Stegostoma tigrinum: one gene and its partners. The protein of the gene in region 1 interacts with the protein of each later gene in a biochemical or structural test. Links are inferred from orthologs where the notes say so. Each region holds a gene or a part of one and is shown on either strand. Other genes may lie near its edges.

What was found.
Region 2: the proteins of dlg3 (region 1) and net1 interact in a test that uses a peptide from one of them, tested with the Homo sapiens proteins (2 studies listed by IntAct, with this or other methods). The link is inferred for Stegostoma tigrinum from reciprocal best matches to the Homo sapiens genes DLG3 and NET1.
Region 3: the proteins of dlg3 (region 1) and gda form a complex in vitro, tested with the Homo sapiens proteins (2 studies listed by BioGRID and IntAct, with this or other methods). The link is inferred for Stegostoma tigrinum from reciprocal best matches to the Homo sapiens genes DLG3 and GDA.
Region 4: the proteins of dlg3 (region 1) and frmpd4 interact in a test that uses a peptide from one of them, tested with the Homo sapiens proteins (2 studies listed by IntAct, with this or other methods). The link is inferred for Stegostoma tigrinum from reciprocal best matches to the Homo sapiens genes DLG3 and FRMPD4.

What each region holds. Positions count from the first base shown.
Region 1 is NC_081368.1:39,704,909-39,711,961, reverse strand, and holds the start of dlg3 (disks large homolog 3), read right to left. Parts: upstream 3,018-7,053; 5' UTR 2,936-3,017; coding exon 2,857-2,935; intron 1-2,856. UniProt on the Homo sapiens protein: Required for learning most likely through its role in synaptic plasticity following NMDA receptor signaling.
Region 2 is NC_081378.1:11,121,448-11,128,442, reverse strand, and holds the start of net1 (neuroepithelial cell-transforming gene 1 protein), read right to left. Parts: upstream 3,004-6,995; 5' UTR 2,956-3,003; coding exon 2,843-2,955; intron 1-2,842. UniProt on the Homo sapiens protein: Acts as a guanine nucleotide exchange factor (GEF) for RhoA GTPase. May be involved in activation of the SAPK/JNK pathway Stimulates genotoxic stress-induced RHOB activity in breast cancer cells leading to their cell death.
Region 3 is NC_081356.1:29,512,485-29,519,341, reverse strand, and holds the start of gda (guanine deaminase), read right to left. Parts: upstream 3,028-6,857; 5' UTR 2,944-3,027; coding exon 2,812-2,943; intron 1-2,811. UniProt on the Homo sapiens protein: Catalyzes the hydrolytic deamination of guanine, producing xanthine and ammonia.
Region 4 is NC_081365.1:63,272,090-63,279,590, reverse strand, and holds the start of frmpd4 (FERM and PDZ domain-containing protein 4), read right to left. Parts: upstream 3,007-7,501; 5' UTR 2,501-3,006; coding exon 2,460-2,500; intron 1-2,459. UniProt on the Homo sapiens protein: Positive regulator of dendritic spine morphogenesis and density. Required for the maintenance of excitatory synaptic transmission. Binds phosphatidylinositol 4,5-bisphosphate.

The DNA of each region.
Region 1 (7,053 bases):
TTTTTCATTCCTAGCTGGGTATGGAAGAAGGACATAGTGCACTGACATACGTAATCCTCTGAAGGTGTTCAGAAGATGGTTGTTGCATTTGGAAAGACAGTGTTTGATTAAGAGTAGTCAGCACAGCTTTGTGTGTGGGAGATCATGCTTCACAAATTGTTAGAGCTCTTTGATGAAGTGACCAGGAAGATTGATGAGGGGAGGGCAGTAGATGTAGTCTATATGGATGTCAGTAAGGCCTTTGATAAGGTTCCATACAGTAGGAACAAAAACAAAGTTGCTGGGAAAGCTCAGCAGGTCTGGCAGCATCTGTGGAGAAGAAAACAGAGTTAACGTTTCTGGTCTGGTGACCCTTCCTCAGAACTCAGAAAGTGGAGTCACAGGTAGACAGGGCAGTAAGATGGCTTTTGGCACAATGGCCTTCATCAGTCAAGGCACTGAGTATACAGTTAAGAAGTTATGTTGCAGTTCTATAGGACATCGGTGAGGCCACACTTGGAGTATTCTGTTTAGTTTTGGTCTCCTTGCTATAAGAATGATGTTATTAAACTGGAAAGAGTGCAGAAGAAATTTACAAGGATGTTTCCAGGATTCAAGGGACTGAGTTATCGGGAGAGGTTGGACAAGCTAGGACATTTTTCTTCACAGTGGAGGAGACTGAAGGGGGATCTATAGGAGTGCATAAGATCACGAGAGGCATGGATAGGGTGAACACACTCAGTCCTTTTCCCAGGATTGGGGAATCAAGGACCAGAGGGCATCAGTTTAAGGTGAGAGAGGAAAGAATACATGGAAACCTGAGGGGCAACTCTTTTACACAGAGGGTGGTACGCATATGGAATAGGCTGCCAGCAGAAGTGGCTGAGGCAGGTGCATTAACAACATTTAGAAGGCATTTAGATGTGGATAGAAAAGGTTTGGAATGATATGGACCAAGTGTAGGGAAATGGGGTTAGTTTGGATGGACATTTTGGTCAGCATAGACCAGTTAGGGTCAAAGGGCCTATCTCCATGCTGCAGTACTCTACAACTCCATAAAAGGCTGACTTGGTCCACATGCCTATTTCTCCATTCTTATTTCAAAACTACATAGTGTCTGATACACTAAATTGCATCTGTTGTATATCTGCCCATCTGATAGCTAATTGTGTCTCTACTATCTTTCACAATCCTTATTACAATTTGCAAAATCTCCCAATTTGGTAGATTTGTCAAATTTCAATGTGTCTATCATTCGTTATTTTATCGAATGGAAGTAGTGGCACAGTGACTAACACTGCAGCCTCACAGCAGCAGCGACCTGGGTTTGGTTCCACCCTTGGGTGACTGTCTGTGTGGAGTTTGCACATTGTCTCCCCGTGTCTGCGTGGGTTTCCTCCGGGTGCACCGGATTCCTTCCACAGTCCAAAGATGTGCAGGTTAGGTTGAGTGGCTATACTATAGTGCTCAGGGATGTGTAGATTATGTGGGTTACAGGGGGATGCTGAAGAGTTGGTGCGGACTTGGGCTGAAGCGTCTGTTTCCACACTGTAAGGAGTCAGCTCTAACTCTTCAACAGAGTTCCAAAGGAACTCCATCAACAACAATTTTTTCAGTCTGAGAAACTTCCTTTTCTCCCGACTCGTTATTTGTTGTCCACCAGCTCTCTATTCTTGCCAATGACCACCTTAATTCCATTTACATTAATTTTTGGCAGAAATCACTTGAAAAAAGTCAAACAAATCATCTTTCTTCAAATAATTTCGTACGAATCGGGAATCGCATTAATTTTAATATTCTTTGTCGAGTGTTCACGATTACCTCACCTTTCATTAAAGGAAGGTAATATCAACCCATGTTATGGATTCTAGTAGATTATCACTCAAAGGCAAATGTAACCCCTTGACCAATAAAATATTATAAACGGGACATAAAATAATACATAAAAGTAGCACATAGGAAGGATTGGGTTGGAAAGATACTACGCTGAGGGCTGGGGAGGGGGGGGGGAGCGTGTGAGGAAACTAAACTCTTAGTTTTTGTTTAGCACCTGTCCTAGTTTAAAGGCCAACATGGAAATTCATTGCACTGGAATCATAGCATTACGCTGTCCTGATTTATACTACTATAATTACATTTTCTATTAAAACACACAAGCTTTATGGATCGATTATATACGCAGCCTGAGCTGTAAAACCCAATCCAAGTTAATTAGTCAACAACCATACTTCAAGTGAGATTAGCCTATCTATAAAAAGGCAAAACATCAATAAAACATAATTTGTTTCTCCCTTCAGCTGTGTTAACAACAATTTATCATGTGTCCAGGCCAAACTTAATCTTGCTAGTTTACTCAAAATGTATTCTCCACAACGGAGAAACATAATCTGTGGAGCACGTGGGCTTTCAACAATAAATATTAAATGCATGTGAGAAACAAAAAAAAATTTGCACACAATAAAAATATTCCCAAACTTCTACTCGCGAGTTGTTGCTCTGCCTTTCCGTATGTTAACAGCTGGGAGAAAATTATCAGAAATCTTACACCCAAGTATCAAACAAGTTATGTCCGCTCGTGTCTAACTTGCAAACAGATTTAAAAATGCCAAGCACAATCATGGTAACTAGCAACCTCCGTCAATATTCACAGATGGTTGACCTTGTGTATTAATTAGCCTCAAAAATCAGGACGCTAAGATTAGAGATTTGACGAGTGAAGAGTCCGATTTTGTTCTCATTGGTTAAAAAGTGTTAAAACAAACGGTTACTCACGCCGAGTTGTACATTTCGTGCAAACTAACAAAACACACGTGGCAGGGAGAGTCCAAGAGAAAATAAACATCAAGTACTGTATTTTATAAAGATGCTACACTGCACCTTCTCTGTGAACCATTGTTGAGTTTCCTTTAAATCTCCACACTCCTACCCCATTATACCAAGGAGTGACTGCATTCATCGAGCGGTACTTTGCAATCGACAGGATTTGTGAGAATTTTCATTCGGCGCTTTGCTATCGTCTCCTTCCTGCTCCCAATGGCGCTGCTGCTGCTGTGCTGTTCAGATTTAATTCCGTTGGCAAACCCGCGACTGCTCCATTCAAGACATTCCAGCAAAAACAGAACCGGACTCAGACTGCCATCTGGCAAATTCCGTGCATTCAGACAGAGAATCAGAGAGAAGTGTTGTGTGAATGAAAGAAGATCAAGACAGGGCGCAGGAAGACAAAGGAATTGGGAAAAGTAAGAGAAAAACATGCTGACAGGTAGAAAAAACAGTAAATTGACGGATTTGAAAGAGACTGAGATGGCGATAAAGTGAGAAACGGAGCAAGAAAGAGAGATTAAAAAGTGAAAAAGAACGGAGATAAATAGTCAGGGGAGTTAAACAGACAAGAGGCCCAGATAGAAAGATGAGGAATAGTATTAACACGTACACGGAGAACATATGAGAGAAAAGCTAATATCTCATAACCCTTTAAATGGCAAAGTGTTTCCTAATTTCACTCCTGAAAATCCTATGTTTTAACACTTTGCCTATTTATTCTTGATTTCCCACTAAGGGAAAATATTTTGTTATGCATGCAGGCTTTAAATGTTTCAATTTTATAACCACTTGATTTTTAAACTTAGAATTCAATGCCAGCTTATGCAACTGGTCTTCATTTTTTTAACTCTTTACGCCCTGTAATCTTCCTGCTGAGTGTGTATGGTACACCCTTCAAAGAACAATATATAGTTTCTGAACTTTCAAGTGTCCAAAATTAAACATAATGCTGGGCTCCCAGTTGCTGTTTGACTAAGATTCTGTGTGATAAATTCTTCAATTTTGAACTCCAACATCCCTGAGTTCAAAGATGAGATTATATATTAGATTTTTGTGCCTGTTCAGTACTATTTGGAGATTTTACACATGTATCCTGTTTCTTCACAGTTTGTAGGCTTTCAATGTTAAGAAAGACACAGTGAATTTTCAAAAATCCCATGCAGATGGTCTCAGACATCCTCAGATTAAGCTACCTCTGCCAAAGTTTGTCTTAATCAATCAGTCTATTAATTTGCCTTTGCATGTTTGTGCTCCCACCTAGAATACTTGAAGAGTAATTCCAAAATGATTCCACCAATCTGCTGCATTCATGTGTTCGGTTTATTCCTCAGAGATATTTAGAAATGATACACTGGTTTGTATGTGTGTAACAGATGTTTCATTCAATGATTGAAAATGTCTGCTGAGATGCTGACAGCAACTTGACTCATTTTAGTCATTTTTTTAATCTCCAGTCACCACATCCAAGCTTAACTAATCAGTCACAGTACAGAAATAAATCAATAGATATATAATTAAAGTAGAAAAATGGAACATTATTGCTTCTCCCATTTGTTAAACTAAAGTCCTATATCAAATTAAACCACCCTAAGGAAAAAAGTGTACGTCATTCTTTTAGATTCACCTTGGCCACTTTCACTGTGCATAGCAATAACCTTTAAGATATGAAGGTGACTTTTGAGATATTGTCACTAAGAATCCAAAATTCCCTGAATGCTAGAAAGCTTCCAGTGCATTGGGGGAAAAAATGCTTATATAACACCCGTATTAAAAAAAGGGAGGGTGGTAAACAGTAGGAAACTATATACCAATTAGTTTAACATCAGTTAATGGGAAATTGTTAGAATCCATTATTAAGGAAGTAATAACAAGACATTTGGAATCAGATGGAGTTAGGGTAATTTATCAGTTTGGATAGAGGGTTTGCTTTCCAACAGGAAGCAAAAATTTGGGATAAATGGGGCTTTTTCTGGTTGGCAAGATGTAACTAGCAGGAACCTTGGTGTTTGGTCCTCGGGCTGTAACGATTAACAATCTATGTTTATGCCTTGGATGCAGGGATGGAAGGTTCGATAGCCGAATTTGCAGATAACACTAAAATAATTGGTAAAGTAAGTTGCAACAGTGAAATTAAAAAGAAAATGAATAGGTTAAGTAAATTGGCCAAAATCTGGCAGATTGTGTTTAACATGGATAAGTAAGAGATTACAGTCAGCAGCATAGAAAGACAATTTATCAAAATGGAGAGAAACTTCAGAGTGCTTCAGTACAGAGAGATCTAGGCACCCTCCTGCATAAATCACAGAAAACTAAATTGTGGGTACAGCAGATAATAGGAAAGGCAAGTGGAATTTTGGTATTTATTGCTGAAGGAATAAAGTGTAAATGTTGCTGCAATTGGTCAAGGCATTAGTGAAATTGCATCTAAGTATTGTACACATTTTTGGTCCCCTCACTTGAGGAAGGATACAGTTATATTGGAAGTAGTTCAGAGGAATTTCACAGATTGATTCCAGAGATGAGGGATTTGACTTATGAAGAGAGATTGAGCGGTTTAGACCTAAACGGTTCATTGTTTTGGAGAATGAGAAATCTAATTGAGGTTTATAAGATATTAAAGGGATTGACAAAATAGACTCCTCTTGAGGAGCAATCCAGAACAAGAGGCCATGGTTTTAAGATAAGTAGCAGCAGATTTAAACCGACAGGGCAGAATTGTTTCTCTGATACGATGTTGAATCTGTGAAATTCACTACCAAAATGTTTCAACCGGAAATGTTGACTTTCCTGCTCTTCTGATGCTGTCTGACCTGCTGCGCTTTTCCAGCTCACACCTATACACTCTGGCTTCCAGCATCTGCAGTCCTTATTGTCTTGAATGTCACAGTTGCTCATTGTAAAAAGAAATGATGTCATAGCCACTGACCTTGAAGTGTTCTAGTCTGCAATCAGAATGTTTCGTTCTATTTTTTGTTGTCACCCACAAGTGTCAGTACCAAACAACTATGTGATGTGTTTTGGATATGACAGAGATGATGCAAGTTTGCAATTGTGATTTCACCATTTGATGCAAAGTCAATCTCTAATTTCAAATAATCATTCCCAGCTTGCTTGTCAAAGTATGCTTTTGCTTTACTTTATTACTTTGTAATTTTTTTTCCTGCTTTTGCCCTGAAATTCCTGCTGGATAACGTTTATGATTTTGGAGTTGTCAATGGAATGCAAAAGTTATGAGCAGTTCTAAGTTCAGCAGTGTCTTTTCACTCAGTGTGGTGTAGATCGCTGTGTGAACAGAACATAAATGGATTGGTCAAATGTTCTCCTCTCTTGACATTATGACTCTCAATGTCCTCGATCACTCTGTTGAATACCTGATGCCACCATTCAATTGTGGTGAACTTTGTGGCTTGTTGGAACTCACTAAACTGTAAATAAACTATGGGCCATTGTCTGTTGTGATGGACTGTAGCAAACCCCATTTCGTAAACAATTTGTCCAGAAAAATCACTTCAGTCATTAGTTATTATCAAATTTGTTACAGCAGTTTCCTGGCAATTGCTATATTGATCATGAATCACAAGCAAAAATCTTGGAATACTAGTGGCTGCTAGCACTTTGCTGAAAGTATCTACTCTGAGTCATTGTCAAGTTTCTGTTGGGCCTGCATTCAGTTGTAGAGGTGTGGGACATAATTCTACATGTAAAATTGTGGCAAACTAACAGAAAGTATGTCCCTACTTCAGAACTAGAAGGTTCAAGTCCCACCTGCCTCAGATATTTATCATAACATTCCTGAGCAGGTTGATTTAAAAATAACAGTGGTACAATATTTAACTGAAGATCATGAGGCCTCTGGCTCAAACGCAGGTGTACCCTTTCATATGTAGCTTCCAACTGTAGTGGTGCCTGTCAGAAATTGTAGGCTCAAGTCCTGACTGCCTTTGATGTGTGTCATAACGTGTTTGAACAGATAGAGTAAAATGAATACAAACTACACATTTTAAAATAAATGCTTTTATATGGCAATCTGTTTGTAACCACCAGATCACAAGGTAGTTCCTTCATTTTCACATCACCAAGGTGACCTTTTCAGATGGGCAATATGCAATACATGTTGCCACAGATCTTTGGGAATAACCACTTGAGTTCTACATGCATTACAGTTGTCAACAAACTCTGCAAATTCATTGCATACTCTATAGCATAGGATGGGTTATTCTTCTATTTTGCAAATCTACTCAGTTTTTGCTA
Region 2 (6,995 bases), on another chromosome or scaffold:
TGGCCAAACAATGAGAGCTCGGGGTGTAGACTCAGTTCCTTGAAGCTAGAGTCACAGATAGACAGGATAGTTTAGTACTCTTGCCTTTATGGTCAGTTCATTAAGTGTAGGAGTTGGGAGGTCATGTTGCAGCTGGTCAGGATATTGGTTCGGCTACCTTTGTAATACGGCATTCAATTCGTTATTGCATTGAGTTCAGGAGTTGGAAGGTCATGTTGCAGCTGGTCAGGATAATGGATCATCTACAATCGGAATACCGCATTCAATTCTGGTCTCCCTGCTGTAGGAAAGATGTTGTAAAATTTGAAAAGGTTCAGAAAAGCTTTACAAGGATGTCACCAGGGTTGGAGGGCTTGAGCTATATGGAGAGGCTGAATAGGCTACAGGTATTTTCCCCGGAACATTGGAGGCCGAGGGGTGACCTTATTGAGGTTTATAAAAACATGAGAGGTATGAATAGGGTGAAGAGCCAAGGGTACCCTTTGCTCCAGAGTAGGGGAGTCCAAAATTAGAGAACATAGGTTTAAGGTGAGAGGGGGCCTAAGGGACAATGGTTTCATGCAGAGAATGGCACGTGTTGAAATGAGCTGCCAGAGGATGTGGCGTTGGAGCATGGTACAATTATAACATTTAAAAGACATCTGGATGGGTGTATAAATAGGAAGTGTTTTAAGGAATAATGGGCAAAATACTGGCAAATGGGGCTAGATTAATTTAGAATATCTGGTTGGCAGAGACAAGTTGGACCAAAGGGTCAGTTTCTGTGCTGTACAGCTCTATGATTCTATCTGGCCTAATATCTCCTTCTGTGGCTTGATGTCAAATTTTTATTCATGATGCTGCTTCAAAGTATTTTTGGTTGTTTCCTGACATTAAAGTCACCATATAAATACAAATTATTTCTGATGAAATCAGATGGCTGTCCCATCATTATAGACATGATTTTCCAGCTTACGTGGTAACAGCAGGGAACTCACAATCACTATTGATAATTTTATGGGAGTATATGGATAGCATGGAAAGTGGGTAACTAACAATTCAGTTTTGGCATAGACAATAGCAATGTGGTACAAACAATCCAGAAAATGTTGACATGGAATCAGGAATAACTTGGAAGACGTATGCCAATGTTTCCAAGAACATCAATTCTAGAATATCAAAGTACATCCTATATGCATTACAATTAAATCGAATCCCCACACAAAAATCAATGTCAGTAAAATCAATAGTGTCATGCAGACAAGCAACTTCAGCTTCGATGCAAAGCTGACTGAGAAACATTTACTTAAATAGCTAAGCTCCCATGTCGTGACATACTCAAGTAAGAAGAAAACACTTTCCAAAAATAAATGTTGTCCAATTAACTTGAAAAACATCAAAAGAAACTAAATAAAAAATTCAAAAGGTAGAAGACTTTGAAATAATAAAAGTGTAAAATCAAAAATAATTGAGCTATGTTAATGTAAAGCTTATATCAAGAATTTGCTTTAGATTTTCCACTGCTTTTCATTTGAATGTGAGCTTAGGAAGTATAGTTAGTAAATTTGCAGATGACATCAAAATTGAAGGTGTAGTTGACAATGGAGAAGATCGCCTCAGAGTACAACGGGATCTTGACCAGATGGGCCAATGGGTCAATGAGTGGCAGATGTAGGTAAATGTGAGGTGTTGCAATGCGGAAAGGCAAAGCAAGGCAGGACTTAAACCTTTAATGGTAAGATCTTGGGGATTTTGGCTGAACAAAGAAACCTCGGAGTACAGGTTCATAGTTCCTTGAAAGTGAAGTCATAGGTCGATAGGATAATGAAGAAGGCATTTAGTACGCTTACCTTTATTAGTCAGTGCATTGAATTTTGGAGTTGGGAGGTCATGTAGTGCCTGTACAGGACATTGATTAGGCCACTATTATAATACTGCATGCAATTCTGGTCTCCCTACAATAGGAAGGGTATTGTGAAACTAGGAAGGGTTAAGAAAAGTTTTACATGGATGTTACAAGGGCTGAAGGGTTTGAGCTATAGCGAGAGGCTAAATAGACGGGGGCTATTTTCCCTGTAGCATCAGAGGCTGAGGGAGTGACCTTATAGGGGTTTATAAAATCATGAGGGGCAGGGATTTGGGAGGTATAGTAAAGATCTTTTCTCAGGGTGAGGGGGTTGAAAGCTAGAGGACATAGGTTTAAGGAGAGAGGGGAAAAGATTTAAAAAGGATCGAAGAGGCAACATCTTCATTCAGAGGGTGGTGCATGTATGAAATGAGCTGCCAGAGGAAGTGGTGGATGCTGGTACAATTACAACATTGAAAAGGCCCTGGCTGGGTACATGAATAGGAAGGGTTTAGAGGGAAATAGAACTGGATATGTTTGGGATATCTGGTCAGCATAGGTTAGACCAAAGCATCTGTTTTCATACTGTTCAAATCTGTGATTCTATGTGTTTCTGTTTCAGTCAGAGATCACCTTGTTAAAATCAAAACTAAACTAAATATGATCTCTTAAGCTACCTTTCGGTTTGCGATTTTACTTAGTCCTGACAAGGGTAATACCCGAAACGTTGCCTGCTTCCAGCTTCCTATTTGCCTACCGTGTACAGCTCTATGACTTTTGTTGCATGCTATTAAGTACCAAAGCACACGAGTTCAGAGAAATTTTCAAACATGTATTAAGCAAAAGCATGACCAAACTGACGAGTTTACTTAATTGTTTCTGCTTGTTATTCAATTAAGGTATAACTATATGTGAAGATTAGTGTTAACGGAACAACATTGAAAGGGAGAGGGAATTGGTGAAGGACGGGTGCAAGCTCAACTCCAGACTCCCCACCACCGGCTTCCATTCACTCACCGTCTGCTGCTGTCCGCTGGCTCTGGGGAGCTGCGGCTGCTGGATGCCACTGAGGATTTCCTCCTGAAGGGGGGCCGCCTGTTCTCTTTCGTTAGCGGCTGTGCCTGACTCATGGTGCCGGTGTGGGACTGCTGTCACCGGCCCTGGGCCTCACTGATCCCTCGGGTCTCTTCTAAATACCCCTGTCACTCCCCTCCCCCACGATCGCTCCCCGATCCCCGGTCTCTCCGGACTTGGGCCTCTAACCGCCCCCTTGCGTTTGAAACTGCCGCCGCTGGAATGCGCCAATCAGCGCCCGCCTCGTCGCCGGGGCCTTCCGCCTCCGTAACCAATGTGAAGCCTCAATCGCGGTGAGAATACGCTCATCAGTGAAGGCAAGGATACATCAATCTATTAAATTCTCTGTGCAAACGAAATGTTTCCCCGAAGCTAAACTTCATAAGTAGCAAAACGTCTTAAATTCGCATTATTTTATATGTAACCATGTTCTACACGATATTGTTAGGTTCACTTATTTTGTATATTTCTGTAGATCAGTTCGAGTTCACTTTTTTTATACGTATTACAATTATGTTTTATACATTTAAGGTGTGGGAAGGAAATTTAAAGGAGATGTGAGGGGCAAGTTATTTTTGAGTGGTAGGAGTCTGGAACACGCGGTCTGGGGTGTTGGTGGACGCAGATATGATGGGGTCAAAAATGCAGAGCTGGAAAAGCACAGTAGGTCAGACAGCATCCGAGGAGCAGGAAAAGTCAACGTTTCGCGTTGGAACCCTTCTTCAAAAACGTTTTAAGGTGAGAGGGGAAAGATATAAAAAGGACTTAAGGGGCAACACGCTCTCTCAGACGGTGGTGCCTGTGTGGAATGAGCTGCCAGAGGAGGTGGTGGAGGCTGGTAGGTTTACAACACTTAAAAGGTATCTGGATGGGTATATGAATAGGAAACGCTTAAGGGGGTACGAACCAGATGCTGGCAAATAGGTCTAGATTTATATTGGCCATCTGGCCAGCATGGACGAGTTGGACTTGATGTGTTTCTGGACTGTATATCTGTATGATGGGAGTAAACCTGACTATGTTTAATCAAGGAAGTCAAGGTTAGTACCAAGCTGAGGACCTACAATGTGACAGTTAATGGTAGCCCAGAGAATTGGACAAGTTTTAAAAGCCACCAAAGGACAGTGGGGGGGGGGGGGGAAGAAGAAGTGAACACAAACTAGCAAGTAATACAAAAATTAGGAGTAAGACCTTATTTAAATATTTCAAAAGGAAGCATGAGGTCAAAGTGAACATGCCATAGGCCATTTAGATAATGAGGTGAGGGGAAACTAGGAAATGGCAAAAATCTTGAAAAATTCCAAGAGGTAATCAGGTTGCAATGGGTTCCATTCTTGAATCCACTTCCAAATTAATCTTTATGCATGTTGGAACATAATGCAGGATAATATAAAGTAGGTATTTGTAAATACAGAAAATGTTCATATGTTGGATCATTAAAATTACAACCATGTATAGGATTGCATTCATATGTACAGGTGATCATGATGTCAGATGTTTGTAAATTGGGGACCAACTGTACTTTAAATCAGTCTTCATGTTGAAGATTCTAAGAGGGTAAAAAAGGGAAGAAATGTAACTTGAACTAATTGGGCTTTTGGATCTGAGTTGAATCCTAGAGTATTAAAGGAAGTAGCTGGAATGGTAGTAGTCTTCCAAGAATTCTGGAAAGTTTTCAGAGGACTGAAGAACTGCCAATCCAACACCCTTACCCAAAAAAAGGAGATGAATACAAATAATAAGCCTTAGCTTAATGTAATTGGGAAGCAATCTGAATCTATCATTAAGGATCTAAAGCAAGACCACTTAGAAATGCATAATACAATTAAGCAGAGTTAGCTTCATAAACAGGAAATCATGCCTGACAAATTTGTTAGAATTCTTTGCTCTAATAAGTTAGAGGAAGTGTTATATATTTTGATTTCTAAATGGCTTTCAATAAGATGGTGCCTAAGAGCTAGTGGTGCAAGGGATAATTCTATTAGCATGGATAAAGGATTGGCTAGCTAATTGAATAGAGTTAGGATAAAGCCATCATTTTTCAAGATTGCAACCTGTAACTAATGGGATGCCACAAGAATGAGTGCTGGGGCCACAATTTACAACAACACTGGCTTGGGGAAAGGAAGTGAATGGAATATCAGTTTTCAGAAAATACAAGGATGATGTACTGTGTGTGGAGAGATTTAGACAGTGGGGGGGAAAAATTCTTATTTTTTCACATTATATTCCATCTGTAAGGTTATGCACTTTAGTGGGGAGATTAGAATAGCTGAATATTATCTAAAATGGCAAGATTGCAGGAAACTGCTGCTCAAGGATTTGGGATCCTCACTACTAAAAAGCTAGCATTCAAATTCAGTGGGTAGCAGGAATTTCAAATGCATAATTAGCCTTTACTTCAAAGGGAATAGGTTTATTTAAGAGGTTTTGATTCATCTATGAAAGATACAAGTCAGACCACAAGTAGAATACTGTGAACATCTTTGGGCCCATGATTTAAGCAAAGATATAATGACATTTGAGGCAGACCAGAAAAGATTCATTAGGTTAGTTTATGGAGGGATTTTCTTATGCAGAGAGGTTGAGTAGTTTGGGCTTGAATTTATTGGTATTTAGTAGAATGAGAATATTGAAACAGATGAGATTTTTTTTGGAGGCTTATTGGGGTAGATGCAGGAAGATGCTTCCCTTGTGGAAAAGACTAGTATCAGAGGGCTTAATCTCCAAGTGAAGGATTGCCTGTTAAAGACAGATGAGGAATTTCATTTGAGGAATTCTTAACCAGTCACTGCAGCATTCTGGGTAAAGTCTATTCAAGGCTGAGAGAGATTTTTCATCAATAAGGGAATCCAGCATTGAGAAAATGGCAGGAAAGAGTTGAGATCAGTTCGTAAATCCATAAGAAATAGGAACAGGAGTAGACCATTTAGCCCCTCAAGACTGCTGCACCATTCAACAAGATCATGGCTGATCTGACATTCCTCACATCCACTTTCCTGCTCTGCCCTCTCTCCATAGTCCTTGATTCTTCTACTGATCAAGTACCTATCTACCTCAGCCTTAAAATGTACACAAGGACACTGGTCCCAGAGCTCTCTTTTGGCAAAGAATTCCAAAGACACTCAAACATCTGAGAGGAAATTCTTCCTCATCTCAGTTGTAAATTGGTGCCCCTCTTATTCTGAGTCTGTGCCTCTGGCCCTAGACTCTCATGAGGCTCCACATCCCCCTCAGCACTTACCCTGTCAGGCTTCTGAAGAATCCTGTATGTCTCGACGAGATCACCACTGCTTGTTCTTCTAAACTCCAGTGAGTCCTAACCTCTTTAGCCTTTGCTCATCAGACAATTGAGTACATTTAAGACAGATAACCCTTAGCATCAAGAATGTGTAATTTTTTTGGGGGGGGGGGGGGGAAGCAGGAGAATGGGGTTGTGAAACCTGATTGAATAGCAGAGCAGACATGATAGGCTAAATGGCCCAATTTCTGCTGTCTTATGATCTTAGTCCCTCCAAAGCAGGGATCTTTCTAGTGAACCTTGTCTGAATTGCCTTCCATGAAGTAATATCTTCCCTCAATTGAGGGGACCAAAACTGCACACAGCACTTGAGTTGTGGTCTCACTATACCTTGTACAATTGCAGTAAGATTTCTGACTCATCTATTCCAACACCTTGAAATAGGGATCAATATTCAATTAGCATTCCTGATTAATTGCTGCATCTGTGTTAGCTTTCTCTGTTCCATGCACAAGTATCCCCGATTCCTTTGTGTTGCACCTTTCTGCAATTTTTTGTCCAATTTTGTTTTAGTTTTCCTTCCAAAAAGAACAACTTTAGATTTTTCCACACTACAGTCTATTTGCTAACTTTTTGCCCACTTAACCTATCAGCCTGTCTCTGTGAACTATTTGTATGCTTCTCACAACCTGCCTTTATATCTATTTTTAGTGTTGTCTATCTGTAAATTTGGTTCAGTATCTTCACTTCCCTCCCTCCGAGTCATTAATACATTATTAACTAACTCAATCAGGGAGAGAGCATGTACCCATTCTTTTGCTGTGAACTCTGTTTGGAGAACAGAATGTTAGTTTC
Region 3 (6,857 bases), on another chromosome or scaffold:
GTGTACCGTGTCCACAGGGTTACAAATGTACAAACCTCTGGATAAAGGGGAGAAAGACATACCCAATGCTGCCCTCATCCTGATGGCCACATTTGTGTGTGGCTGCATCAAGCTGTGCGTAGACCCTCCAAACGCAGCAGCAAGTGTCACTGCTTTACCTCTCCCCAGTTTTGCAAGAGATGGGACTGGCCTTGGCACCACAGAATGCTCCAAGTAGTTGGGCTGTTCTATATCACCTGTCCTTCATGGAAAAATCTGCAAAGAAAAACACCTTAGACCACAAGTCCATTAGGAAGTGATCAACAAGTAGTGCACTCAAGAAAAGGATCCTGTTGCATGGTTCCCTGAGCAGACTGTCAAAAGTCATTTCACAGAATTCCTCATCATCAGAATTTTCCAATGAGCACCAAGATATCGCTTAGCCGGTGGTGGGAAGGGCACTGCCCATCAGATCCTTTTTGCATACCCAGTCTCTGTGCTCCACTGCACACTGCCCTTAAAGCAGCTGTTAGTGGGGTTAGGACAGGCTGTCACTCTCTCCTTCTGCAATGTGCCTTTTTAAAGAAGGCCTGGAGAAAGACAGAACATAGAACAGTACAGCACAGGAGCCTGCTCAATTATTGGATCCTCTGTTTGCCCCAAGATGAATATAAGTAGTGCCATGCATGAGTAGGAAACGCCTTTGGTTTCTGCAACTGCAGGGAATACCAGATTTCAATATTTGTTTTATTTTCTTTTTATGCAAAGGCCGTAGAGAACATCTTTAGAATCTGTGTATGTACGTTAAAAAATTATCTTTATGAGTAAAGTGTACTTTTGCAATAAAACCATCTCTCATTTTTCAACAACATTCAAGTTCTGTTCTACCAAGCAACCTCTACTCAAATAGATCCCACATATCTCTGTAGATCAGTGCAATTCATAATTTTGATTCCAAATTCCATCACCTCTTAAATCTCAGCACAAGCCTTTTATATGTTGCTGCTTAATCAGTTATATCTACAATATCCATTTCACAATCATAATACTTCTATAAATAATAGGTGTAAAACTTGTTAATATATATGACAGTAACTTATGTGAAATAGGGAATTGGTTTCTGTTTCATTTGCCAAGAGCAGTAAATGATTACGCCTGGAAATAACATGCTTTGATGATGTGGAACTTCTTTTTGTTCCTTTTATTTCCACCTATTCCGCTGAGTAGACTATGGTGAACGAGTTTGCCAAATTCAACTTGGGTGAGTCATTCCAAAATTACGTCTTATCCTGTTTCAACTAGATCAGGCAAACAGGTTTTTTAACAGAGATGTTTAAATCGTTACAGTAAATACAGAATAAATGTTTCATGTGGCAGAAGAGTCAATTATCAAAGCGGACGCAGATTTAATATGGTAGATAAACGAACCATTGTAACGCAAAGAAAACAAAAAAAAAATTCACAGTACGCTGTTGTGACCCAGAATGTGCTGCCTGAAAGGGCAGTTGGACCAGATTCAGTAATAATTTCCAACGGCAAGTTGAATAAATATTTGAAGTCGAAACGTTTGCAATGGTCATTCAGACAGAGCAGAGGAAGTGGAAATAGTTAGACAGCTTTACTAAAGGGCTGGCCAGGCATGATGAGCAAAATGCCCTTCTTCTGCACTGTATAGTTCTATGTTTCTCCACTAACTGGTCCTAACTGAGGAGATATGGTAAGAGATTTGACAATGTGCCTAGTTCATGGCATTTTATTTGCCAAACTACTTTCCCATGGTTTTTAGAATAATAAAATAATTGAAACCAGAAGACGGGGGAAAGTAAAGACTGTACAGAACCGGTTTAGTATCTGCATATTTTTATGTTTTACGTGTAATGAACTATGGACTCTGGATTCTCAATCAAAGAGAGAAAACTAAAGCTAACAACTGTATAGCCACACTTGGTATTTATTAGAGAGTATAAATTCTCATACCGAGATTATACCACGACTAGAATTTGTCTCACGGAACCTGTACAAATACAATTCCCTAAATTATAAACAAAAACAAAAATTGCTGGAGAACATCAGTATCTGCTTTCTCTCCACCCATTTCTGCCGCAAATCTAATTTCTCCAGCAATTTCTGTTTTTATTTCAGATTTCCAGCATCCACGATTCTTTGTTTTATTTACAGTTTGCATATGTGTTGGAACCTTGGGTTCGAGTTAATTGAGGAACTTGTATTGTGTTCTGACATGTAAATATAAAATTAAAGATTTGCACACAAATTGGGTTGTTAAACCTTACAAGTGACAAGATGAGTCCCTGTGGTGTAACAGTAGGCCATTTGGCCCATCAAGCCCACGTCAACCCTCTGAAGAGCATCCCATCTCCCCCTACCCGTTTGCCTGGCGTTTCCCCATGATCTGAGACGTTACTCCTGATTTCCTCTCCGCTGATGTTGGCAGACGTTCTGAACTTTTCTATTAATTTCCTGTTTTTGTTTCCTCACGGGCATCTTACACATTATGGACAATCTGCGGGAGGAAACCCACACAGAGAAAGTGCAAACCTCGGTCGCCCGAGGCTGGAATCGAACCCAGGTCCCTAGCGCTGTGAGGCAGCAGCGCTAACCAGTGAGCCCCCGCACCGCCCGGGTGACAAGTAGCCAGCTGACTATGACATTTGGATCAGGGACAGAAAACTGCTACTTCTGCATGTAACCATTTTTATATATAAAAAAAACTCAAATCATGCAGCACCGTTCGGCGGACCCCTGAAGAACATTCCAATTTAACAACCGATTTGGCAGTATTATAAACGGGAAATTTGAAACACGAGTTCTCACCTTTCCCATCCCGTTTACTCCCAGGATACGAGGGGCTAGAGTTTCCATTGGGGAAGTGTCAGTGGCATGGATAAAGGTCCCCTTGAAAACTTGGAGGCTTTCGCCTTGCGGACGGGGAGTTTCGGTTGTCATGTTGTGGAGTGACAGCCTTCCTCTGCAGCGCTGAGAAAGCTGTGGAGAGTACCAATACACACCACTTCATTCTCTTAAATTGAAGCTTTGGGCGCGCATATCGAATAGTGGGCGTATACCTTCCTTTTGAGAAACAACTACGCGTCGGCTGGGTTTGCTCTAGAGCCATCAGAACAAAAAGGTCTAAAGCAATCGAAGGTAAAAAGAAAACAAACGAATAATAATGTCGTTGCTGGTGTCCATCTCACACTGTAGTTTAAAAAGGACATATTTCAGTCCCCAACAATTACAACTCGTGGGGCATCTAATCCCACATGCACACAGAATCGAAGAACATTAAAGGAGACCCTTTGGCCCATCGTAGCTGAGCAGGTCATTAATCGTCCATCTATTCTAATCCCATTTACCACACTTGGCCCTCAACCTTGAATGTTGTGGTATTTCAAGTCGTCAGTTAAATAGTTCTTAAATGTCTTGAGGGTTCACATCTCTACCATCCTTTATAGGTCGTGAGCTCCAGATACAGCCCTCTGGTGGAAACATCTTTCTTCACATGCCTTTGAAACCTCCCACTCCTTACCTTAAAGCTGCTCCCTGGTTACTGAGATAACAAAGTGTGAAGCTGGATGAACACAGCAGGCCAAGTAGCATCTCAGGAGCACAAAAGCTGACGTTTCGGGCCTAGACCCTTCATCAGAGAGTGAAGGGTCTAGGCCCGAAACGTCAGCTTTTGTGCTCCTGAGATGCTGCTTGGCCTGCTGTGTTCATCCAGCCTCACATTTTATTATCTTGGAATTCTCCAGCATCTGCAGTTCGCATGATCCCTGGTTACTGATCCTTTTACGAGAGGGAAACCTGTACCTACCTAACCTGGCTACGCCCCTCAAAACTTTGTACACCTAACTCCTTTCAGCGCCCTCTGCTGCAGGGAAAACAATGCCAAGCATATTTAGTGTCTTTTCATAGCTGAATCACACCAGCTCAGCATACACCCTGTTAAAGTGTTGGAAAAGGTGCAGAGGAGATTTACCAGGATGTTGCCTGGAATGGAGGGAATGTCTTACAAGGAAAGGTTGAGAGAGTTAGGGCTTTTCTCTTTAGAGCAACAAAGGATGAGAGGTGACTTGATAGAGGTGTACAAAATGATCAGAGGTGTGGATAGAGTGGACAACCAGAGACTTTTCTGAGTGGTGGAGGTAGCTATTACGAGGGGGCATAGTTTTTAAAGTGAGCGGAGGTAGATATAGGGGAGACGTCAGAGGTAGGTTCTTTACTCAGAGAGTGGTCGGGGCGTGTATTGCATTACATGCATTATTTTCATTTCTCTGTGTTTACCTTGTTATGAATCCAGCTAATGGTAATACTGGACAATTCAAATTTCCAAACGAAACCTATTCAGGGTAGTCTATTTAGGACGGAGATGAGGAGACATTTCTTCATCCAAGGAGTGGTGAGCCTGAGAAATTCAGCCTCACAGCACCAGGGGCCCAGGTTCAATTCCAACCTTGGGTGACTGTCTGTGTGGAGTTTGCACATTCTCCCTGTATCTGCGTGGGTTTCCTCCAGGTGCTCTGGTTTCCTCCCACAGTCCAAAGGTGTGCAGGCTAGGTGGATTGGCTATGCTAAAATTGCCCATAGTGTTCGGGGGTGTGTGTCCAGAGAAGGTTTCTTCTTTCCTTCTCTCCCAGTACAACTCAGTCCCGGGTTCTGTAGTTGGGGTAGAGAGAACCTGACCGACAGTGCGGCCTGTTGATCTTGGAGTTTTGCTTTGGTGACCCCATCGAACATTAGCATCTCAAGGTCCAGATACGCTGTGAGTGTCGTGATCAGAGAGACGTTCACCCTAATCAACTTAAACTCCTCCATGCCTTGGGGGATTGTGGCAGGTGATGTAGAAGTGTAAGGCCTGGTCCCCTGACTGGTGTGTCCTAAGAGGAGGCCTCTAGAGAGTCTCTATGTGGTTCTTTCTCCATTTACATGCTGACTAGGAAGGAAAAACTGAGTGAGACCAAAGTTCCCTGTCGCCTAGCAACAATAGCGGAAAGATGGAAGTGAAGGCCTGTGTGTGTATCCATCAAATTCTGAGACTGCTGGATCTGGCAGCTGTCAGCCAGGCGCTCATATACCAGACGCAGCAGGATCCTAACAGCATTAGTGCAGTCATGCAACCTTTGTGTCAATCCCTCCAGTACTTCCAACAAACCTATTTGCTGCTCCTATGTCTACTTGCGCATTTTTATGAAGTTTGTAAGTGCTGACACCATGGGTTCCTCTCCTGCTTGCAGCTGAGCAAATACTTGCTCTCCAGCAATCTTCTAAGTGCCAGCAACCTGGGATGCCTTTTCCCCCAACCAGCTATGGCAAAGTGGCGGTGGTCTACTCACAGGTAGATAATCCCTGTTCTAGTTAAAATACTCACCAATGTGTCAGTGTCTGAGCTGGTGGAGGGTGCATATGGCAGCCTTGACAGTTCATCCTCTGAGGCACCCATGTGTTCTACCTCAGAGGGAGTGGAGGGGATGTCTTAAAGGGCTGTGGTGTTGAGCACCGAGACCATGCTGATATCACCTATACCTGAAGGAGTCGAAAGTGAGAATGTGTCGTGAACAAGTTTGGACATGTTCAGACACATTCACCATGGTGTTAATAGGATAGCAGCACAGCAATGCAAACTCCAGGATATGATGTTTTCAGCATCACCACAGGTATGATTCCAGTCCTCACTAGCAAGCGCTAGCATCCTCTATTTGTAGGCTTATGGAGCCAAATGATGGGCATCCCACCACTGCCTTAGCTCTGTCTGCCCTATTATGAGTCTTATTATCCTGGAACAAGACAAAGGGAGGAATTGAGTGAGATGAAAGTGTGTGGCACAGCTGTTGCTGCTAGAAATATGGGTGTCTCAAGTGAGTGAGTAGGGGCACACTGGCTGTGCGCTGTTAGTTGTTTGGTTGGTTACTGGTGCTGTTGAGGGTCGTTGGCGGGGAGGGGTGTTGTGCAGTGACTGAGATAAAATGTTTTATGCAAGATTGAGAGTGGTAGACCATGAGACTGGTGGAGATAGGTGCAGTAGCAGATTTGGAGTGAGTGTGATTTGTCAGAGAGAAGACAGTGGCAGACCTACCATGGCAGAGCAGATATGGTAATTAATCTTCCTGTTACACTGCTGGGCATTACAGAGATAGTACTGACCTGCATGGCAACCTCTGAGTGGCAGGGACTGGTGTTGTGCCTTCTAGTCTGATCCTGGAGGAGAAAGAAGATGGCATTCCCCTGTACCCTCCCATTCACCAGAATCTCCACGTCCGTATTTGCAAAGTGGAGTACTAATTTTCCCTGATAATAAAATGTGAGGCTGGATGAACACAGCAGGCCAAGCGGCATCTCAGGAGCACAAAAGCTGACGTTTCGGGCCTAGACCCTTCATCAGAGAGGGGGATGGGGTGAGGGTTCTGGAATAAACAGGAAGAGAGGGGGAGGCGGACTGAAGATGGAGAGAAAAGAAGATAGGTGGAGAGAGTATAGGTGGGGAGGTAGGGAGGGGATAGGTCAGTCCAGGGAAGACGGACAGGTCAAGGAGGTGGGATGAGGTTAGTAGGTAGGAGATGGGGGTGCGGCTTGGGGTGGGAGGAAGGGATGGGTGAGAGGAAGAACAGGTTAGGGAGGCAGAGACAGGTTGGACTGGTTTTGGGATGCAGTGGGTGGAGGGGAAGAGCTGGGCTGGTTGTGTGGTGCAGTGGGGGGAGGGGACGAACCGGGCTGGTTTAGGGATGTGGTGGGGGAAGGGGAGATTTTGAAGCTAGTGAAGTCGACATTGATACCATTAGGCTGCAGGGTTCCCAGGCGGAATATGAGTTGCTGTTCCTGCAACTTTCGGGTGGCATCATTGTGGCACTGCAGGAGGCCCATGATGG
Region 4 (7,501 bases), on another chromosome or scaffold:
ATAGGAACAGAACCACCCTCCTTGCACTCATGCAGCATCACCTGAACATGAGCAATCATAAAAACTGGGAAAAGAGTTGGACTGTATTATGAAATGGCTGCAGTCTCGAGATTGCACGTTGGATTTCCAGAGCCTTCACGTTTTTCATCTCTTCCCTTTCAAGATCTGTGGACAGATTGAAATGCTTTCCTAAAGCCAGAGGTGTTGTCATTTCCCAATCCAAGGTTTCTTATTGACCACCACATGCTTTACGTTTCACTCGTATGACATTTGCTATTTCTGCCACAGGTGTGTTGTTTGCATATGTCCCAGTGCACTAAAATGACATACAATTGTGAAGATCACCACTGAAAAATAGTGCCCGTAACTGTCTTTGGGTAAAGCTATTTGGTATAAATTGCAACCAATTTGGAAAATTGATACTGCCATTTCCTTTGCAATTCTTCTGTGAATTCTATTAATTTGAAGGATTATTTTCTTAATGCAGAACTGTACAGCAGAACGCAGATTTTCTAAAACATACAAAGTTATTAAATTTTTCAGGTATTGATTTTTGACAAACTTAGTGTCGTAACGGTTTCTCAGTCAATACGAATGCCTCAGCTCTGAAAGCATGGAGCGCATAGCGACTGTTATTAGACCTCAAAACTGAATAACACCACCCAATCAAGTTTATGGTGTATAATCATTTACAACTGATTCTATCAGTAAGCAGTTTCAAGGTGACAGCAAGAACTTAAGACTTCACTATATTCTCAGTTAGATAACAAAAGAGCAAATTTTGAAAGCACATGGGAAATTAATCAGCATTGAAGGAAGACTGATTAACTTTCATGTCATGTTGAAAGGCCTTATCAGAAACACAAACCTATCTTGTCTCATGTAGATTCTAAGCCAACAATCTGTTATTTTGCAACATTTATTGCTTTCCTTAATCACATATTTCAAATCTTCAGGATTTGTGAGGGCTTTTTTAAAATCTCGATGTAAATGTATTTCCTTCCTTCCAGGAATCCATCGAGGTTTCTTTGTACAAACAAGCAAATATTTTTCTATTCTTTCATGTATTGCAATACAAAACAATATTTTGGTCATGAACCATATGTTCTGCAGACTGGTGGACAGATCCCAATAGTAACAAATACTGATAATACCCAGGTCTTCATGTGCCCAGTGAGTAAACTGTACTTCACATTTGTTTAATTCTACTTCAGGAACTTAAGTGTTGGAAAGTTGCAGACAGAGATTTTCCATAGAATTGCATATGTTCAGTGCTCAGAGAATTCCAAAGCAGATTCAAATGATTCACAATAACTGAAAACTTGATTAGTCGATTTATTTTTCATATCCTTCCTGCCTAAGAAATACCATGCAACGTGTATTTTTCATTGTTATTTTAAAATATCCATAAGTTGTGAATTTGCCGTTTTACGAAGTCACTTAATATAATTTGAGAGACAAAGTTGATCCCTACAGTGAAACCCATTACATCGAAATGCAGGGGAAAAGCTGGCGTTGGAAGGTATCTTCTCATTTGCGTGATCAAACCTGAAGAATTTCTGACAGATTATAATTAACAGTAAACTAAAGATCATCCAGCAAAGGCGCGTGCAGTGACATTTCTTTAAAACGAGTGCCTGTTTGTAGGGTGTACACCAGCGGAGAGAATGTTTGTATGTTGTTGAGAGAGGAGGGGTAATGAGAATTATCCACAGACACACAGTGCCATTGCTTAATGCGAGCCCAAACTCCCTCGCACCCAACAATTAAAGTGTCAGGAATATCTGCTGGTTTACATCAAAATAAATGCCAGACTCAGAAACATCAGCCGAATTAAAACTGACATTTGCTCATGTACCCATCAGACACAAATACGACCATCTGAGCATTATTCAACACCGGAGCATATCAAACAAGTAGCTTTGGCGACGCTAAAAATGAATTCAACTTTTTTTCGACCAGGGCATCAGCGATAAAGGACAGTTGATTTATCGTTCTGTTCCCCCCCCCCCCCCACCCCCCACGTAATATTCAGCACACTGGAAAAAAAAGATTCAATATTCTCCCACAGTTGGGAAGACATCGAAGTGTTACTGTTAATAAGCCATCAAACACCGGCTTCAAGACTTCTAAAGATCGAAATTGGCCACTAGTAAAATGTAATGAAATCATTCTCCAATTTTCCACCAAGCTATAATTCTTTTCCCACTTACACACCCTTTTCACTGCATCTCTATTATCCCCGAAGCTCGACAACCTATCTGCCTGTAACCATTACACTAAGACAGCGTTAGTCATAGGGAGTAAAAATGCTGCTGCTCCTAAAAATGATGCATCGTGTCTTCACGGCTGTCCCTGTTGTGGCTGTACATCCAATCGAGCGGATTCCACGGGACGGGGAGCTTGCAGTCGCTAATGAGCAGTGGACAATATTCAGAGGATGTATGAGGCACGCTTACCTTGACAGCTTTGCGATCTTCACAAAGCTAAACACATCCATGCATGCAGAAAGCTCTTGTGTCCTCACTCCAGCTCCATAATGTATCCTTATTCAAATCGACTGGGGCTACATGGAGAGGAACGGCTTCCCTTTCCTCCTGCTCCGAGATTCACGGGTCCATCCACTCCGGCTTGAGGTAACATTGGCTCTCCCTGAGAGATCCGGCGTTCAGTGCTCACATTCCCCCGCCACCAATTGGCATGCTCCCACTGACCCCTCTTAGCCCCTCAGTCAAATGGCAAGCCACTGGGAGTGGGAGTCTCCGAGGCAGGCAGCAACTCCGAGGATGCACGCAAAATCACTCCTGCTGCTTGCTTGTCTCCTCTCGGGTTTGCTCCAATCACAGCCAACACTTGATGACAAATTAAAGCAAAATCTTTTTTTTGGAGGGGGAAGGGGTGTAGGGGGAGGCAAACGCCGCAGAAGAAGCAAAATAAAACCTAGTGCTCGAAAGGAAAACAGCTCGCTTTAGACAGGTGCGCTATCATTCTGACTCCGACCTGTACAGGCTCTCGCCTGTTAAAATGCACGGGAACATGATGCTCGCTTAAGTTCTTCCCTCACTTCAGCGACTGTTTCCCGTCTGCAAAACTACATATTTCCCACTACACTTAACCCTCGAGAGTTGTTGTGGAAACTGCATATGAATAGATCCTGCTGCTTGGTGAGCACAAGTCAGAATATTTCTCTGCGAGTACACAATGGCAATTTGACCTTTACAATTTAATTGACAGATTCATGAGTTCCGAGAAAAATAACGAAACATTGCAACAAAAGGATAGTTAAAGAAAACACGGTGATAAAGATTTAATTAAACATCAATCTTGCCTAGACAGAAACCTAGTTATCTTTCTATAAAACTAATTCTCAAGGTAACTTCATACAAAAGGGTACACAGTGCACCGGAAGGTTCAAATCTTTATTTACGTTAAACAGAAGCAGCTTACAATTGTTTTATATTAAACATTGCTAAATTCAAATCCTTTCTTCATTTTAAAAACTTGGTTGAAATGACCAGTCACTGTCAAAAGTTTTGTTTTCTTCATTACCCGGGCTGACACCTGTTCTAAGTTTCTAAAAGTTGTTATCTCACAAACAGAGGATTTAAGATACCTCAGAATTCTCAAAGACTGGCATACCATCTCAATGTATATTAAATATGTTGCTGCAATTAAAGGATGCCAAATGTCTGCAAGATCGTAAGTGTGTGATGAACAAAGAAAAGGAGCCAATATGAGCCCCTCCAGCTAACTTCTATCCAATAAGATCATGGCTGATCCATGTTTTTTTTTCAAATTTTACATTCCCTGATAAATTTTGATTCCCTTGACTAACAAGAATCTGTCTACCTCCACCTTGATTTTATTCAACAAGCCCACCTCCATTCTCCTCAGATGCCAAGAATTCCAAAGCCACACAACCCTGAGAGAAAAGGAATCTCTCCGCAGCCTTATCCAAAAAGGGTGCCCCCAATTTTAAAACTGCCTCACAAAAGGTCACATTCTTTCCATTGGCCACTTGTCTACACCATTCGGGATTCTATACACTTCATTCATATCACCCCTCACTCTTTCAAACTCCAATAGAAACAAGTCCAGTCACTGCCCAACCTATTCTCAATCCACTCATTCCATCATTCAAGCTAATAATTTTTCCCTGAACTGCCTCCAATGCAGTTGCTTCCCTGCCTAATTAAGGTTAGCAATACTGCACGTCACCAATACCCTGTGCAACTAAAGCACAACATCCTCACTATTACGTTCAATTCCTCTCATAACAAAGGATAGCATCAGCCTTCTTGACTGCATGCTGTTCCCACATACCATTGACTCATACACAAGAACACCCAAGTTCCTCTGAGCCTTGGAATTCTGCAATCATTCTCCATTTAATTGTTTATATTTTAACTGTTCTTGCCAAAATGAACTTAATATTTGCCCTCATTATACTGCATCACCAGATTTTTGTACACTTACTCATCCTACCTATATCCAACCACAACCTCACGTCTTCTTCACAACATACTTCCCAACTATCATATGGTGATCTTTGTATTTAGCTACTATGCCATTGCTCCCATCATTGATACAGGTTTTAAAAAGTTGAGGGCCCAGCACAAACACTTGTGGGACTATACTGATCATATTCTACTGATGGGTCAAAGGTCCATTTATATAAACTCTCTGGTTTAATAAGGCCATTAGATGCAGAAGCAGGCAATAGACCCATTGAGTCTGTTTCATTATTCAGTGAGATTATGGCTGACCCGACCATTTTCAGCCAGGATCGCAGCCAATTCTGCAAGCGTCTGATCTTCTACAAAGCTACTATATTAATTCCTATGAGCATTTATATTCCACAAGTACAATATTCCTCCAATCACAGGAACACCACTTGGGATTACATATCATTCTCCAGTTAGACGAAGTTTGGGATAGAAATGGAGTTGCAGTTCTCCGAGAAAATACATTACAGAGACCAGAATTAACCCACATGGGAAAGCTAGGTTCCTTTCCCTCCACTGTACAACTCCCTGTATAGTCAGAAACTCAACCTTTTATTTTTGCTCCTGAAATGAATCAGTCAGTGACCAATTAATGTCAATGCACATTCCTCCAGGATTGGAGGCCAGACTGTCAAAACTGGAAAAATTAATGGGAGTAATTTTCAGTGAACATGCCTGGCTTCCTGATTTTTCATTGACCTTCCTATGTTAGTCCTTATTGTGTGGGTTACATTAAGAATTCATCAATTAGCCGCTGCACTACTGATGCAGGACCTCTGCCAGGATTTTTTTACATGTGTAAACAACCGTGCCTGCCACTGAACATGTCTGTGCTTTAACCTGAGATTGCTGCCAATTTACAACAGATAGAATTACTCTGGATCATTAACTATGGCCAGTTATTTTTGGATCAACTGATGTTTGGGCAACCACATATTAAAACTCACCTGGAAGTCTGCTTCCAGTTTCTCTCAAGTTGTGTGGTGAATACACACACTTTGTAATTTTATTGGGACCAATTTGATACATTAGTCCATTCATCATGAATCATCCACATTGCTCTTCTGGCTGAAGGTAGATGCAAAGTTCTTCAGCCTTGTTCCACAGTTGAGGAGTAGAGCCTTATCCTCTGTTACTTAGAAAATTGCCCATCCCTGTTCACACCTAGTTGTGGGAGAACTGCAAATTTTAAATCTGACCATTTGGATGACTTACGTCTGCTTCTGTTCATTGGCAAATAAGTAATTCTGTTTCAGATTCCCACCAGGTTTATACTTTGTTTTCAGGTATGCCTGGTGCTATTTCTGACAAGGCCTCAATCAGTCTTTTTTGAACCAGAGTTAATCCTCAATTTGATGGTAACAGTAGATTAAGGAATATGCTGGGCCATGGAATTGTGATTGAACTCTGCTGATGGCTCATCACGTTTCACAGATGTACTGCTTTGAACTGTCAAGATCTGTTGAAAGTCTGTCCCAGTTAGCATGGCACAACACAATGAAGAGTATCCAAAATGTGAAGATGGGCTTTATGCCCAGACAGATTGCATGATGGGCGTCATACCAATTCTATCAATGGCCCATGCATCTGAAACAGTTTTAGCCATGTTAATGAGGCCAGGTAGGATTTTTCTTTCTCCTTGTTAATTCACCTACCACTTGCTGTAAATGCAGTCTAGCTTCTATGACCTTCAGAACTCAAAGCCTAGTCAATAGTGGAGCCACTAAGTTAAGGATCAGACCAAAACCTCCTTCTAACTATTCAGAAGGTAGTTAAGACCCTAGCTTTTTCTTATTTTAAAGGTAAATGTAAGGTGTTCATTCCAGATGCAATTTGATTGGTTAAACCACCAGATTTAAAATAGAACACCCTTTATTCATGCACTATAGTAAAAATACACGAGAGAGGACGAATTGGATCAACAACTCTCCTAGAAAATTTAACAGAACAGTAGATACAGTAACTATTAATAATTACCTGTTCCATTATAGTAATACCCCATAAACACACCCTTAACAAAATGCAAATTCAGAAGACAGATTGTCTCACATTCAATCCTATCAGCAAGAAAGAGCTACATGCAGCAGCGCCCCAGAGAGAGACGTCTTTTCCTTCCACAATTTCAGTTCACACCTACTAAATAAAGCAAAACCTGCAAAATCCTGGGCATGTATGTCTCGACGGCGTGTACTTCTATTGTTCCAACTTTTGGAGAACACCCAACGCTTCACAAATTGTTTAACGCCACTGACTGCTTAACACCTATTCCTGCAACTTCTGTCTAAAAGAAACCAGGACAAAACACACCTCTTAAAGCCACAAGCAGAGTACATTCTGGAGCATGCCCAGTCTCAGTGCTTCTTTCCAAATTGTATTCAACATGAAAAAGTACTGGTTCACCAGCTGACAGGGGTTAGTCAGTGGTTATCAGCAGGATGTTACCTTGCCCATATTTGACTTGATGCTGTGAGATTCATGGTGTTTGGCTACTTGCTGACACTAGTTCAGAACATACACAGATTTGGCTGTGGTTGAGTCTGGGGCTTGGTATTTCAACGATTGTCAGTGATTCAATGCACATCTCAGATTGTTGCTTTAAGTCAATTGTGGTAATGCTCTGTTGAACTTGGCACAAGCCTGAGGTGGATTTGTTACTCTCATTTACAATGCCTTTGTCAATGTTTGGTGGTCTCACTTTGTTTTATTCATTTTGACTTTGTGGTGATACATTACAACTGAGCGAGTTACTAGGCCATTTCAGAGGGCTTTTGGGAATCTGAAAAACTGCTGGGAATCTGGAGACACATGCAGCCAGATTGGACAAGAACAGCTGATTTCCTTCTAATGGCAGTCATTGAAAACTCATCTGGCCACTAATCACAATCACCAATGGCTTCATGATCATTGTTATTGAGGCCCACACACGTAGAGCGACATTGGTGCCAAATGCAGAGGCTTGGTGCTCTTGGTCACCTATTGTATTTGTGATCAAGGAG